3 linked regions of the Macaca mulatta genome follow. The protein of the gene in region 3 interacts with the protein of the main gene of each other region in a pairwise test. Links are inferred from orthologs where the notes say so. Each region holds a gene or a part of one and is shown on either strand. Other genes may lie near its edges.

What was found.
Region 1: the proteins of UBE2D4 (region 3) and DTX3 interact in binary tests that used the Homo sapiens proteins (3 or more experiments, as listed by UniProt). The link is inferred for Macaca mulatta from reciprocal best matches to the Homo sapiens genes UBE2D4 and DTX3.
Region 2: the proteins of UBE2D4 (region 3) and RNF14 interact in binary tests that used the Homo sapiens proteins (3 or more experiments, as listed by UniProt). The link is inferred for Macaca mulatta from reciprocal best matches to the Homo sapiens genes UBE2D4 and RNF14.

The regions. Positions count from the first base shown.
Region 1 is NC_133416.1:64,773,056-64,778,538, forward strand, and holds the start of DTX3 (putative E3 ubiquitin-protein ligase DTX3), read left to right. Parts: upstream 1-1,797; 5' UTR 1,798-1,832; intron 1,833-3,158; 5' UTR 3,159-3,221; intron 3,222-3,403; 5' UTR 3,404-3,450; coding exon 3,451-3,479; intron 3,480-3,825; coding exon of another isoform or gene 3,826-3,844; coding exon 3,845-4,574; intron 4,575-5,478; coding exon 5,479-5,483. UniProt on the Homo sapiens protein: Regulator of Notch signaling, a signaling pathway involved in cell-cell communications that regulates a broad spectrum of cell-fate determinations.
Region 2 is NC_133411.1:150,823,518-150,828,875, forward strand, and holds the start of RNF14 (E3 ubiquitin-protein ligase RNF14), read left to right. Parts: upstream 1-1,672; 5' UTR 1,673-1,715; exon of another isoform or gene 1,716-2,212; intron 2,213-3,251; 5' UTR 3,252-3,425; intron 3,426-5,358. UniProt on the Homo sapiens protein: E3 ubiquitin-protein ligase that plays a key role in the RNF14-RNF25 translation quality control pathway, a pathway that takes place when a ribosome has stalled during translation, and which promotes ubiquitination and degradation of translation factors on stalled ribosomes.
Region 3 is NC_133408.1:84,433,777-84,438,972, reverse strand, and holds the start of UBE2D4 (ubiquitin-conjugating enzyme E2 D4), read left to right. Parts: upstream 1-1,651; 5' UTR 1,652-1,668; coding exon 1,669-1,710; intron 1,711-1,724; exon of another isoform or gene 1,725-2,124; coding exon of another isoform or gene 2,125-2,148; exon of another isoform or gene 2,149-2,318; intron 2,319-5,196. UniProt on the Homo sapiens protein: Accepts ubiquitin from the E1 complex and catalyzes its covalent attachment to other proteins. In vitro able to promote polyubiquitination using all 7 ubiquitin Lys residues, but may prefer 'Lys-11' and 'Lys-48'-linked polyubiquitination.

The DNA.
Region 1 (5,483 bases), on a different chromosome or scaffold from region 3:
TGGCTGGACTGATCTGTCTCACAAGAAGCCATGAGGCCATAGGGAGAAGCTCTCTCTCCCCTTCATCTTCTGCTCCAAAGGTGGTAACAAGAGGCGTACCCATTGGGGTTGGAGCCCCCTTATAACATCTTCCTGTCAGAAGACTGATGGATCTTTTTCATTCCAACCATCTCCCTTTCCCCCGATGAATGCAATAAAACTCGGACACCAGCAACCGTTGTTCTTTAGAAATGGGTTTTCTGATCGCATGGCTGATGTATTATGGGCAGTATGGATGTCTTCATTTGTTGCTTCTGTTTTTCATCTTTTTTTGTTTTATTAATAAAAAATTGTGTATTTGCTCCCATTACTATCATAATACAGGGAATAAATTATTCAATCCAAATTCCTGTACAGAACTTTTTATTTTTTTATTTTATTTTTATTTTTTTAATTTTACTTCTCTGAGGAAGCCTGTGCTTAAGGGTGCAGAGACCAGCTGAAGAATTCTGGTGTTCAAGGTGTTGGGCCCCTAACTAAGGATGTGGGTTTCTAGACAGATGGCTGGGAACGTTTTTTAAAAAGCTGTGAAGGGTGTGCACCGGAATGGAAAACTTAAGTCTTCAACTTCGTGGGAGGTCAGAGGTAGTGAGGGCCAGGGAAGGGTAGGGTGATGGGACCCTTCCTCTTCCCTGAGTTCTGGGCTTGCTAACACTCCATCTTTGTAAAGGTGAGTAGGCCTCTCAGCCCACCAGCTAAAAGAAACGGAATCCAGTATTCCCCCAGGCTTCCTGGGAAAGCTGTCTTCTTCCTGGAGGGAAGGAAGAGTACAGCAGAGTCCTGGGAAAGTGAAGAAAGTGACCAGCTCTCCAGTCTAGAGGGGGAGTGAAAAAGGGGTGGATGAATAGAGGTTGTTGCCAGTTTGGGAGATTCCTGTCTTGGCTGAGGAAGTCTTTTGGCTGGTGGAAAAACCTGGCTTGATGTGGCCCTAGGGAAGTGAGTTGAATTGGGCAGAGACTGCTTGATGTGGGAAGCAGAGCAGAGCTTTTTTTTTTTTTCCTGAGAGTTTTTAACTCTATTTGAACCATACACACTTGACACTACCACCACCTCAAGCCATTTTTTAAAAAATGTATTCGTTTCCCATTCTGCACCAGCCTCCATATCCCTGTTTGTGGAAAGAGAAAAATCAGAGGCACTTACCAATGACCAACTGAGAGCAGGTTGTGGGGGTCACAGGAGGTAACAATCTAGAAAGAGGCAGATGAGGGAGGGGATTGAAATAGTTTAGTACCCGGATTTGTTTATTTTTTAAAACCAATGCTTTTTTTTTTACTATGACTCTTCCCATCCCACATTGTTCCTCAAAGGCCCTTCTACCATAAGGATTCAAAAAATTGCCGCCCTCCCCCCCGAATCCCCATATACCCACCAACACTTCACCCACCCATCCACCACCAGCTCCCCGGAGCTGCTACGCAGCTGGCTGGGAAAGAAAAGGGAGAGTGCTCCGCCGGGAGCGGGGAGCGAGAAGGGTGGCGTCTCCAGGGATTTAACCTCCTACCCTCAGTTCCATGACGCCACCCCCTCCCTCCAAAGACTGGAACAGCGCCTCCATTTTTGTTTTGGGGAGGAAGGGCAGGGGCTTGCGGATAGAAGGGGGTCAAAGGAACGGTGATTATCACCTGTGAGGGGAAAGAGGGTGCTGTCCTCCCTCCTTCCCTTTCCCTCAGCCTGCACCCCCTGCAACCCCCAACCTTTCGGGGTCTCCCCCCCCCTTGTTGCTAAGGCCCGGACCGTCATCCCAGCAACAGCCTCAGTCATGTGACCGGCAATGGCGGCGCTGACGAGAGGTAGGTGAGCCCGGCGCCCCCCACACCCACCGCGCGCCCCCCAGGCCCCGCTCGCACCCCTCACACGCCCCTCGCTCCCCCGGCGCCCCCTCCTCCACCTCCCCTCCCCGCGCGCGGCTCCGGGTTCCCCGCTCCGTGCCCGGCCGATCATCTTTCTAGCACCCTCCAGCCTTGGCCTCCATTCGGGGTTTCTGAGGGCTGCGATCGGGGCCGACATGCATCCCCGCCCGGCAATGGGGATCCGGGGGCTTTGGCGAGTGAGGGATGTGGGGAGTTGGTTCCGGGTCGGGTCTTGGAGGAGGCCGTGGGGGTAGGGCGGGAGCTGCCTCAGTGGATGCCCCCAGGGACCCTTGCCCTTCCGGGCTGTCCCTCCCTCTGGCCTCTATCTAGAGGGAGAGACTGTCCCTTGTCCGGCCTGGGTTCCCACAGAGGAATCACAGACCCACCCTAAACTGTGGCCCCGCCTCCCTTTTCTGTGCCAGCAGGACTTGGAGCTAGGACACCTAGGTCCTGGGTCCCCTGTGATGGGGAGGGGGGTGTTGCAGCGCAGATACACTGTATGGGCTGAGACTCTAGGGTTCCATTTTCACTTTATGAATCTCGAGGTGCATCTGGCCTTGGGGGACGATGATGGAGGCATGAAGGGACAGCTGCTCCTTTTTGGATCAGTCATTGAATGGAGGTCACACTAATGGCCCTTCTTTCTGTTTGAGCTGCATTTGGAAGTGTTGTGGGTACAGCCTGGTAGCCCAATGCGACCAGGCTCAGGGGAAACATCAGGCCCCTCCAGCTGAGCCCTTGTGTGAGCCCCGCCCCTCCCTAAATGCCAGACTTGGGAGCTGACAGACAGCCCTGCCTGTGCTGGGTTTAAAAGGTGACAATGAGAACTTTGTTATTGCAGGGGCTGCTGCCACTTTGTTCACATCCTTAACAGACTTCAGCAGAAGGGACTGAGTTAGCTCTCAAGGAAGGCTCCCTGGCAATAGGGGCTGAATTATTTGGGAACGTGGAGCAGGGGAGGAGTTGGAGAGCATAGGAAATATTCCGGTCCATGTGATCTGAGGGAGGTGGCAAGAAGACCTCCACCTGTGTGGGCGTTTTCTTTCCTGACATCTTTTATGTGTGCCCTAGGCTTTCTTGGGGGCCTCAGAGCTGGGGAAGAAAGGAGGAAGGTTAGCATGTTCCTTCTTGAGCAACTTGGGGAGAAGCTGATGATGGAATTCTGCAGAGGAGAGAGGAGATGGAAGTGGAGTTTTTATTTCTGGGTTGGCTGAGGGAAATGGTAACATTTGCCATCATAACTTTTTACCCTTCCCCTATTCCCAGTCCTGGTCAGCTGAGTGGAAATAGAAGGATTTCTGCTGCCATCATCTTCCATGGGCTTCCCAGGTATCTCTCCCACAAGGGATCCTCAATTTTCACCCTTAAGCTGGTTTCCTTCATTCCATGTTACCATTCTCAGTAACCTATACCCAGGTTTCTGTCTCTGTTCCATGGGCTGCTGGGTTGGGGGCCATGGGAATTGGGAGAAGGGGTTTCTCACTTTCCTTCCTTTTTTTCCGCCCTACCAGCTCACACGACCTACAAGTAGGGAGCAGGGAAAAAAGAGTGAGCCTGCATGCCAATTCTAAGCTCTTCAGGATCAAAGTAAGCAAAAAGGAGGGGCAAAAAGTCTCCCTCCCCTTTAAAGAGCCCATTTTCCCCCCAGAAGTGGGAGGGGCAAATTGTTTCTATGATCTGGGAGAAATGACAGGAGAAACAAGACTGATACTTGGCTTAGATGATAATACAGCTCTGGAAACTTTTTTGCTCTTCAGTGGGCGCTGGGTTTGGAAGATAAGGGGAGAGAGAATATGAATTTGGGGGAAGGGTTGGGGATTAGGCTTTGAGAAAACAGAGGTAATAGAGGGTTTGGAAGGAACCTGAAGTAGGAGGCACTGATACTTGTCAAATGGGGACCCCCCACCCTGAGTCCCTTTCACCCTGGGGGCAGTGTCGTTCGTCCTGTCCAGAATGGCAGCCTGTGGAGGCACCTGCAAGAACAAAGTGACTGTCTCCAAGCCTGTGTGGGACTTCCTGAGCAAAGAGACCCCAGCCCGGCTGGCCCGGCTTCGGGAGGAGCATCGTGTGTCCATCCTCATAGATGGCGAGACTTCTGACATCTATGTTCTCCAGCTTTCCCCACAGGGCCCTCCCCCGGCCCCTCCCAATGGGCTCTACCTAGCCCGGAAGGCTCTTAAGGGGCTGCTAAAAGAGGCAGAGAAAGAGCTGAAGAAAGCTCAGAGGCAGGGGGAGCTGATGGGCTGCCTGGCTCTGGGGGGTGGAGGGGAGCACCCTGAGATGCACCGCGCAGGCCCACCCCCTCTCCGAGCAGCCCCACTTCTGCCCCCAGGGGCTCGGGGGCTCCCCCCTCCTCCTCCCCCCCTGCCCCCACCTCTTCCTCCTCGCCTTCGGGAGGAGGCAGAAGAGCAGGAGAGCACCTGCCCCATCTGTCTGGGGGAGATCCAGAATGCCAAGACATTGGAGAAGTGCCGGCATTCATTCTGCGAGGGCTGCATCACCCGGGCTCTGCAGGTGAAAAAGGCCTGCCCCATGTGCGGCCGCTTCTATGGGCAGCTGGTGGGCAACCAGCCCCAGAATGGGCGGATGCTGGTCTCTAAGGACGCCACCCTCCTACTACCCAGCTATGAGAAGTATGGCACCATTGTCATCCAGTACGTCTTCCCGCCCGGTGTCCAGGGGGTAAGAAGACCATGGCCCACCCTTACCCTTTGGCTCTCCCCAGGCTCTGACCTAGGAAAACCGGGTGAGGGTGAGTGTGCTTGTTAGATGTGAGACAGTCTTGCTGTCTTCCACTATGCCCTCTTACTCAGTGCCCTAGACCTAGGAGGTCCCTGTGAGGCCCAGCTTTTCCATCCCTGTGATCCCAAGGCACATGTGAAAATCAGATATGAGCTAGGAAAAAAAAGCAAGTCAGATACGAGAAGAAGGAATTGCATATTACTTCCTTGATGAACACAAATACTGTGCTGACATCTTGGCAGAGGTAAATTCTGTGGAGGTGGTGGCTTAGGGGCAGGGAGGCACAATAGGAAGAGATCTGACCAACCCAACAGAGCCAGGAACATCACTTGGTAAAAACGGGAGTGGTCAAGGCCTATAGGTGTCTTCCTGCTGGACAAAGAGTAATGTGCAATTCTGGCTGCAGAGGGTTGAAGAAGCTGCAGAGAAGACTGATGGAAAATGGAACAGGTTAGACAGTGGCAGAAACATTAGGAATATTTTCAGGTTAAGGGAAGGCTGAAAGATAGATTATTCTGTCTTCACATTTCTGCTGAGTTGTCTGGAGTATAGGGACCAGCTACCTTCCATCACTTCTGAGAATCTATTTGTTGCTGAATGGAGACTTGAGGGATTGAGACAGCAGAAAAAACCTCTTAACACGTAAAGATTATGCTCTGAAACAGGCTCTTGCTGCCGAGGCCATATAATCTCTCCTTCTGTGGAAAGCTGTCAGCCTGTTGCTGCCCTATCCGCATTAGCTGGGGATGCTCAGACAGAGACTGGCCTGGATGATGCTTCACTGGTATCTGGGCCTTAGGATGCCTGGCTGCTCACTGCCCACTATGCTTCACCTTCCTCCTAGGCTGA
Region 2 (5,358 bases), on a different chromosome or scaffold from region 3:
TCTCACACAAGAAAGAATTCAGGGCGAGTCCGTAAAGTGAAAGCAAGTTTATGAAGAAAGTAAAGGAATGAAAGAATGGCTACCCCATAGACAGAGCAGTGCCAAGGGCTGCTGGTTGCCCATTTTTATGGTTATTTCTTCATGATATGCTAAACAAGTGGTGGATTATTCATGCCTCCCCTTTTTAGACGATATAGGGTAACTTACTGACGTTGCCATGGCATTCGTAAACTGTCATGGCACTGGTGGGAGTGTAGCAGTGAGGACAACCAGAGTTCACTCTCGTGGCCATCTTGGTTTTGGTGGGTTTTAGCCCACTTCTTTACGGCAAGCTGTTTTATCAGTAAGATCTTTATAACCTGTATCTTGTGCTAATCTCCTATCTCATCCTGTGACTTGGAATGCCTAACTGTCTAAGAATGTAGCCCAGTAGGTTGCTCAGCCTTATTTTACCCAGCCCCTACTCCAGATGAAGTTGCTCTGGTTCGAATGCCTCTGACATTTTGAAGTACAAAAGTTTTTAGCTTTGGTGAATGCAATTTATGTGTTTTTTTCCTTTGTTGCTTGTGCCTTTAGTTTCATGTCTAAGAAACTATTACCTAATTCAAGTTCATAAATATTTACTCCTACATTTTCTTCTAAGGGTTTTTTGGTTTTTTTTTTTTTTTTTTTGAGAGGGAGTCTCGCTCTGTCGCCCAGGCTGGAGTGCAGTGGCGCAATCTCGGTTCACTGCAAGCTCCGCCTCCCGGGTTCGTGCCGTTCTCCTGCCTCAGCCTCCCGAGTAGCTGGGACTACAGGCACCCACCACCACGCCCTGCTAATCTTTTGTATTTTTGGTAGAGACGGGGCTTCACCATGTTGGTCAGGCTGGTCTCTATCACCTGACCTCATGATCCGCCCTCCTCGGCCTCCCAAAGTGCTGAGATTACAGGCGTGAGCCACTGTGCCTGGCCTTCTAAAGATTTTATAGTTTTAGTTCTTACATTTAGGTCGTTGATCCATATTTAGTTAATTTTTGCATATGGTGTGAGGTAGGAAGCATATAATTTTAATTTCTGCTTAGCCTGATGATAATCATGTGACCCTTTGTAAGTTTTTGCACCTAAGTCTCAATTTCCTTATTTGTAAAGTGAGAATAACAAATGGTAGCTAAATCATAAGGTTACAGTGAAGATAGAAAATTTACGTAGAGCATTTATCACAGTGCTTGAAGCATCCTAACTGCTCAATAAATGCGGTCGGTGTTGCAGTTATAACATGAGCGATGAATGCGTGCTTCTGCAGTGGAGCTCCAGAAAGACGGGCAGCATTTCTGAGAAGGTAAACGGGAGGAAGCAGGCTAGCTTAGTCCACTTAGAGAAGCAGGTCTGGGATTGTTGTGAGAGTCTCTGCCCTAGGTAGACCACTGCCTCGTGATCACCTCTGGGGATTGGTAAAAATTGGAATTCTCGGGCCCCATCAGAACTACTGAAAACAGCCTCCTGTGAGCACTGGGCTCGCAGTGGTTGGAGTGACGGCGGTCGCGCCGGCAGCGCCGCCTTGGGCCTGCGGGAGGCGCCCGAGAGACAGGGGCGACCACGGCGGCTGCGCAGAGTCCTCTCTAGGCCGACTACCCCACCAGCGGGATCCGCTTGGCTCAGCTGACAGCTCCCGAGAACGGAAGAGGCGGTGCGCCGGTTGAGCAGGGAATTGCTAGGCCTGGTCGGCTGGCGGCGGTGAGTGGGCCCCGGGCAAGGGCGGAGGGCGGAACTTTGGAGCTTGGCACTGCCGGGTGGCCGGAAGGTACGGTGGGGACAGCTCTCTGGGCGCGCGAGGCAGAAAAGGGGACCGGGCCAGGACTGTACAGTGGGCCTCAGTCGCTCAAACCCGGGACCGGGCGTCCGCAGCCCAGCTGGCCGGGACTCCCTTCCGGACGCTCCTGAGGAGGAAGAGAAAGGTGTGGGCCCTGCTTCTTTGGGAGGCCCCAGGCTGGCCAGCAGCTCACACGCCCGGATAGCGCCCTCTGATCCCAGCGCTGGGGCGGATAGCTAGCCTTGGACTTGCCCCTGTTTTGGGGTAGTCGCCCAAACGACTCCGCACGCCGGGTGGCGAGCTGAACCCAGACCAGGACACCCGAAGACCAAATGGATAGAATGAGAAGGAAATGGGGGTAGCAACCAGAATTGAGGTACTGGCTTCCAAGTGACAGCTTCACAAGCTGAAATCTAGTAGGGTAGGTCATGAGGAACTGTTGAAACACTGCTTGGAGTAGAAGTTGCTAGCCCTGACTGCATATTGGAATCACCTGGAGAACTTGGACAACTACTGAGGCCTGAATTAATTGTTCTGGGTGTGGCCTGGGTATTCAGATTTTAAAAAACAGCTCCTTAGAAGATTCTAATGTGCAGTCAGATGGAGAACACTAACCTAAAACCATAAACTGCATAAATGAATCTCTCATCCCATTTGCAAATGTTTTAACAGGAAGAAACAAAAAGCTTAATTAGCACCATATATTCCCACCTAGTAAAATTGTTTAAGATTAAATAAGACAATGTGAAAGGACCTAATACTGTACGTAGTAGGTGCTCAATAAATGTAAATTGATTCTGAATCTCATTCTTATTGGGGAGTTACACATCCGAGAATCTGTAACTTTTTAATTATGGTTTTGTATATGGTATTTTTGCATATAATTTTAGGGTGTTGATAGGATTCTCCATAACCCATCTGAGACCATACTCCCTTTTCCCCTCACCCCAGTGAAGAAGCCTAGCTCTAAAGCGTTTAGAATAAAACTTAAAAGTTTCTGTTTGTGTATTCTTGTTTTGTTTAAGTATTTTTCTGTTATCAGAATTAACCATGAGTGCCACTGGTGGTATTAATTCATGAACAAGAGAGGAAAAACTGGAGGGGGATGGCAAATGAAGGAATACAAAAAGCAGAAGAGGAAAGGAGAAAAAACAAGAAACTGAAGAGGCTGTTTGTTATGGGGCATGGTGTCCTGTCCTCTCATATGACCTTGGTGTTCCTCCTTACCTCCTCCCATGGCTGAGGGCAGACAGATAAAAAGTCCTCAGTCATTGCTGGGCACATGCAAATACTCCTTTAACCACATGGCTCAGTCAGTCTGCCCTAGGAGAGTAACATGCACCTGTAGATTAGGATTGGCTGTATGTTAGGATATGTTTGACTTAAGTGGTGATCATGGAAATTCAGAATTTTAATTTGGAGAGGGTCCTAACACCATCTTTTGTATTTCTTTTCTGCAGATGGCAGGATTTTCATAGTATATGTAGTATGAGTTCCACATCTTGGCCTCTTATCCAGCTTCAGCAGTCTCAGCTCCACCAGTTAGAGAATAAATGGGATTTGCACGAACTCCACTCTGAGCTGAAATACAGACTGTGGTGTTAATATTCTTTTCTTCTGGTTGTTATTAACAGGTACTAACTGACCTCAAGTAGAACATGTAATTGTGTCTTTTAGGGAGGCAACTTAAGCAGAGCCATGAACTAACGTCTCCTAGAAAAAGTGTTTTTTGAAATGAAATCATTTTAAATTTCACAGTATGACCTTTTAGAATGTAAAAAAATCCTAACTTTTTAATTATGTACATTTTAATTAAAAATATTTTAGTTGTGAGGGAGGATATTTGCAAATGCAATTGTTGTTCAGTATTTTAATTGACAGAATGGTATTTTGTTTTATTAAAATGATTTTTGTAAATTCTCATTGCTTATTTTTTTCCACATTTAAATTATCTGAAATTGCTGTATCTTTCAGTTGACGCTATTTTAAAAAACATTGATTCATACTTTATTTATTTTTATTTATTTATTTATTTTTTTGAGACGGAGTCTCACTCTATAGCCCAGGCTGGAGTGCAGTGGCCGGATCTCAGCTCACTACAAGCTCCGCCTCCCGGGTTCACGCCATTCTCCTGCCTCAGCCTCCCGAGTAGCTGGGACTACAGGCGCCTGCCACCTCGCCCGGCTAGTTTTTTTTGTATTTTTTAGTAGAAACGGGATTTCACCGTGTTAGCCAGGATGATCTCGATCTCCTGACCTCGTGATCCACCCGTCTTGGCCTCCCAAAGTGCTGGGATTACAGGCTTGAGCCACCGCGGCCGGCCCCATACTTTATTTTTTGAGACAAGGTCTTGCTCTGTCACCCAGGCTGGAGTGCAGTGATGCAGACATGGCTCACTGCAGCCTCAGCATCCAAGGCTCAAGCGATCCTCCTACCACAGTCTCCTAAGTAGCTGGGACTACAAGCACACACCACCATACCTGGCTAATTTTTTATAGAGACAGGATCTTGTATGTTGCCATGGCTGATCTCAAACTGCTGGCCTCAAGCGATCCTCCTGCCTTGGCCTCTCAAAGTGCTGGGATTACAGGCATGAACCTCCACACCCAGCCAGTTCATACTTTAATAGTAGCTAATTTCTTTCTTTCTTTCTCTTTCTTTTTCTTTCTTCCCTCCCTCCCTCCCTCCCTCCCTCCCTCCCTTCCTTCCTTCCTTCCTTCCTGTCTCTGTCACCCAGGCTGGAATGCAGTGGCGCAGTCTCAGCTCACTGCAGCCTCCGCCTGCTGAGTTCTAGTGATTCTCAGTTCTCGTGCCTCAGCTACCAAGTGGTTGGGAATGCGTGCACCACCACGCCCAGCTAATTTTTGTATTTTTAGTAGAGATGGAGTTTTGCTGTGTTGGCCAGGCTAGTCTTGAACTCCTGGCCTCAAGTGATCTGCCTGCCTTGCTCTCCCAAAGTGCTGGGATTAAACGCTTGAGCCACTGTGCCTGGGCCTTGCAGCTAAATTCTTAGTATTACCTAAAATAATGGTAAATCTTTCTTAAAATTATTATCTTTTAAATATTCTTAAGTCATAATGGTAAATCTTAAAATTGATGACTGCTTGGATTTGACAAAATCTGTTATTTCAAAAATTTAATATTGTTTTGCTGCTTGCTCAGTTATCTAATTTTCTTGTATCTATGCCTGTAACATCCTCAAGCACAGTTTTCTCAACTGGAAGCAATTTTGCCTCCAACCCCCATCCTGTCCCAGGACTTTCGGTGCTACTTGGAGATTTTTTTTTTTTTTTGAGACAGGGTCTCACTTTGTCACCCAGGCTGGAGTACAGTGGTGCTATCATGGCTCACTGCAGCCTTGACCTCCCAGGGGTGATTTGCCTGCCTCGGCCTACCAAAGTGTTGGGATTACAGGCGTGAGCCACTGCACCTGGCAAATTAACTTATTTTAAGAAAGCAGTGTAATACACTTTGACTACTTTTGCGAGCCAGGCACTTTGCTAGGTTCAGTGGACAAGTCAAAGTAAACTTGTGATTTGTCGTTTTCAAAGAAAATTTTCAAATTGT
Region 3 (5,196 bases):
TGAGATTTGACACATCAAAACCACCATATATATTCTTAGCACATAAATAATCATTTATATGTTCTTACATAAATATATAAACATTTATAAAATCTAGAATCACTTGTTTTATGGGGAGGGAAGGCCATGTCAATAATGTAGGAGGATGGATGGCCCATGGACTAACAAAAATTTCTGTTGTAAATGTTTGACACCAAGGGGAAGCGCTTGACCTGGGCCGTTCAATGGGTGATGCTTGAGCTGGCTTTGGAAAGTGAATGCTCTAGTCAAGGAATGTAGATGCTGTGGTGATGGAAACACTTGATAGTCAGGTGGGCTGGAGGTAGGAAGGAGAAGGTAAAGCTGGAGGATACTTGATTTTGTTTTGAGTTTTTGTTTTTTTGAGACTGGGTCTTGCTCTGTCTCCCAGCCTGGAGTGCAGTGGTGCCATCACAACTCACTGCAGCCTTGATCTCTCGGGCTCAAGTGATCCTCCCACCTCAGCCTCCCAAGTAGCTGGGACTACAGGCGCACACCACCATGCCCAGCTAAGTTTTGTATTTTTTGTAGAGACGGGGTTTCACCATGTTGCCCAGGGATGGTCTAGAACTCCTGGACTAAGGGATCCACCCACCTCAATCTCCCAAAGTGCTGGGATTACAGGCGTGAGTCACTGTGCCTGGCTGAAGATCCTGGATTTTGAAGGCCCCTGAATGACAGTGAATGTGATGCTATAGGCCACTGGGCTTCCTTGAAGAGTTCTGGGTAAGGATGCAGTGTGGTAAGCTTTATATTTCAGACAGTTTATGAAGTTGTGTGGAGGACAGATTGGGGGAATAGGAGCATGAAAGCCAGGGACAAAGCTGGGCAACCATTGAAATGTCTATAATACATTTTGTTTCCTAAGTACAAACATAGAGGTGACCATGTGTCCTGGCTGGCTGGAGACAATCCTAAATTATGGCTTTGGTCCCAGAGTAATTATATTAAGAGCCACTTTCATGCTCAAACATGTCTCAGTCTGAAGATTAAATATCATCTACATATACACAGCAACAAAACATCCACAATTCTTACCTTCACTGTGTGAAAGGCACTGACATTTTTTTCTCTTTTTTATTTTTATTTTTTATTATTTTTGAGACACAGTCTCACTCTGTTGCCCAGGCTGGAGTGCAGTGGCGCGATCTCAGCTCACTGCAACCTCTGCCTCCTGCGTTCAAGTGATTCTCAAGTAGCCTCTCAAGTAGCTAGGATTACAGGCATACGTTACTATGCCCAGCTAATTTCTGTATTTTTAGTACAGACGGGGTTTCACCATGTTGGCCAGGCTGGTCTCGAACTCCTGACCTCAAGTGATCCGCCTGCCTCAGCCTCCCAAAGTGCTGGGATTGTAGGCGTGAGCCACTTCGTCTGGCTTTTTTTTTTTCAAATGTTGGTTGCAACCTATTAAATTGATTTCGTGACACACTAAATAGTTCATAACCCTCAGTTTAAACAACTCTGACCTACACGCCTGCCAAGTCTTAGGAAAACAGGAAGGAGACAGCTAATTAAGTTTGGGTGATGCATAGTCTAAGGCATTGGTTCTCAACATTGGCAGTGCAAGATCACGTGAGGTACGACTGAACACGGAGATCTCCAAAACTGCGGAGAGTTGTGCGTGTGCACATATGCACAGACATCTACATGGAAATGGCTGTAACGCATCCAGCCATAAGGCGTACAAGGGTATGTATACTTACAGAGTTAAGAACCACTATTCTCAGGAGTTATATGACAGCCTGAGAAGACGCCCAGGATGTAGGAACAGGGAGCAAGCGAGCGTTTGGCACCTTGAGGGTGCTCCGCGCGTCTGGTAAAGCCAACGAGCCCCTCCTCTTCGCTGGCCTCTCCGGGGCCTTGCTGACCAGTGGTCGAAGCCACAGGACCGGGTGCGGGTGGCCAGCGTAACCGGGGCAGCCCCGCGGCTTCCCCTCGGCCGCGCCAGGACGCTCTGCACGCGGCGACGACGGCCCCACAGTTCCCCGCGCGCGCAAGCGCAGGCGGCGGCTCCCGGCGTGCAGCTCGGTGGCGGCTGACCCGGCAGCGGGCCGCCTCAGGCAGCCCTGGCCGGGCCGCCCGGGTCCCCGGCAGCGGGGTAGGATGGCGCTAAAGCGGATCCAGAAGGTACGCACTTTCCCACCCTCCGACTCTTTGGGTGTCCGAAGCGTCGAGGTGTGGGCGGGGCGCCGCTGCCGTGAAGTGAAAGGTGACAAAGGCTCCGCAAGTCGCGGATACACCTGCCTAGGAAGGTGGCCGAACAGCCACCCGCGCAGCCTGAAAAGCTAACGCAGCCTGAGAAGGGGATTGCGCGAGCGCGGGGCGGGGCCGGGCCGTGACCACGTGGGCTGCGTCACGCTGGCGGGGCGCCGTGGGGCCACCTGCAGGCTCCTGGACAGCGGGTTGCTGGGTCCCCGGAGTAAGGCAAGCTTGCTCCTCTAGGGTATCCAGAAGGGCTGGATGGGTATCCAGAAGGGTATCCAGAAGGGTATCCAGGATGAAGCTGGGTCCTAAGCGATGAGTAGGAACTCGGCAGGTGGGGAAGAGGGAAAAAGGCTTTCCCGGCAATGGGGAGACCACGAGGCCTGGAGGACTGACAGGATAGGGGAGAAGCTGAAGGGCAGATGGTGTGGACTCGGGTGGTCCTTAGGGGCAGTGCTGAAATAACTGATTTTTATCCTGTAGGTAAGAGGGAGTCCATGAAGGTTTAATGCATTCACTAGGATTTGGAAAATGCACAACAGTAGAAGAAAGAAGTATTTCTAATCCTATCACTTTACTATTTGTTAACATTTTAGCATACCTATGTTCAGTTTTTTCTATATTTAAAACAATTATCCTGCATTTTGTATTCCACTTATTCACATAATAGTAAATGTAAGCATGTTGTGAAGTAGTATTTATAACTTTTTTTTTTTTTTGAGACAGTCTTGCTCTGTCGCCCAGGCTGGAGTACAGTGGCACAATCATGGCTCACTGCAGCCTCAACCGTCCGGGTTCAAGTGATCCTCCCTCCTAAGCTTCCTGGGTAGCGGGGACTACATGCCACCATGCCCAGCCAATTGTTTATTTTTTGTAGAGACAGTGTCTCACTATGTTGCCCAGGCTGGTCTCATACTCCTGGGCTTAAGCGATCCTCTTGCCTCCACCTCCTAAAGTGGTGGGATTACAACGTGAGACACCATGTCCAGTTCTGTAACTAATTTTTAACATTAACTTTCCACAAGTACATGACTAGTGACTTATTTAGTCATTACCTGTAGTAGGTAAAACTGTAGTAGGTAAAAGTATGAACTTGGGTGTCAGACCTGGGTTAGAGAATGTGAGGTCACTTATAGTGGGACCTTGGGTAAGGCACTTAATCATTCCTAGCCTCCCAGTCCTACATGTTTACAGAGTTGTTTCGAGAATTAAATGCTATGAAATGTGTTTAGCACATGCTTGCTGTATACCAAGCACTCAATATGAGTTAGCTGCTGTTGTTCAAAATTCTTCACTATTTGCTGTTATGAACTTTGTATTAGGCTGTTTTGTTTGCTATAAAGGAATATCTGAGGCTGAGTAATTAATAAAGAAAAGAGGTTTATTTGGCTCTCAGTTCTGCAGGCTGTACAAGAAGCATAGTGCCAGCATCTGCTTCTAGTGAGGCCTCAGGAAGCTTACAATCATGGCGGAAAGCAAAGGAGAAGCAGGCGTGTCACCTGGTAAGAAAGGGAGCGAGAGAGATGCCAGCTCTTTTAAACACCCAGATCTCGCATGAACTAATAGAGTGAGCACTCACAGATTATTGTTGGGGGGCTACCAAGCCATTCATGAGGAATCTGCCCCCATGACCCAGACACCTCCCACCAGGCCCCGCCTCCAACACTGGCGATCACATTTCAGCATGAGATTTGGAGGGGACAAATATCCAAACCAGATCAACCATCATTGTACAGTGAGCCTTTTCCTTAATTCACATTACTGGGTTTGATTGCCAGAGGTGGAATAACAGGATCTCTGAGAGTATGACTCTTCTTTTTAAATAGCTGTCCAAAAGAGAGATAATTTTGATGAGTTATTCTCTGAAAGGGGTCATCTGTCATCCTAGGACTTTGAAGCAGGTGAATGACGTGCTGAGATCTGTGTTATAAAAAGATCCTTCTGGCGGCAGTGTGGCCTAAAGTGGGACAGAGGGAGACTAGAGGCTGTTGTGAAGATTCAGCAGAGGCTTTGCCCAAATTAATGACCATGGAATGGATGCTAGGCCAAAGCAGTGCCTGGACCACATTACAGAAGTGGAATTGACAGGACTTGAGGAGAGGATGTGGTGAAAGTGAAACAAGGAGGTGTACAAAATGGGTCACAAAGCAGTGCCTGGACCACATCACAGAAGTGGAATTGACAGGACTTGAGGAGAGGACGTGGTGAAAGTGAAACAAGGAGGTGTACAAAATGGGTCACTTAGTAGATGGTGGTGTTATTATCTAGGATGGGGAATCAGAAGTTTTGAAGGCAGGGAGGAGGGTAGGAGAGATTAAGGAGTAAAGGTTTGAGCCTACATATTCAAATGTATAGGCTGATAAGATTTATAAAAGGAAGGGTTTGGAAAAACAAGTTTGGACCTTGAGCATGAAATGTCAACTATAGATCCAAGGTAACTGAAGTCATAAGGCCAGGGAGAACTTTTCCTTGATAAGAATCAAGGACAGGCTGGGTGCAGTGGCCCATACCTATATCCCAGCACTCTGGGAGGCCAAGGCGGGTGGATTGCTTGAGTCCAGGAGTTTGAGACCAACTGGGCAACACAGCAAAATTCCATCTCCACTAAAAATTAAAAAATGGCCAGGCGAGGTGGCTCATGCCTGTAATCACAGCACTTTGGAAGACCAAGATGGGTGGATCATTTAAGGTCAGGAGTTTGAGACCAGCCTGACCTATGTACTGAAACCCCTCTGTAATAAAAATACAAAAAAATTAGCCAGGCGTGGTGGTGCACGCCTGTAACCCCAACTACTCCAGAGGCTGAGGCAGGAGAATTGCTTGAACCCGGAGGGTGGAGGTTGCAGTGAGCTGAGATTGCACCACTGCACTCCAGCCTGGGTGACAGAGCGAGACTCCGTCTAAAAAAAAAAAAGTAAATTAAAAAAAAAAAAATTAGCTGAGCGCAGTGACACACATCTGTAATCCCAGCTA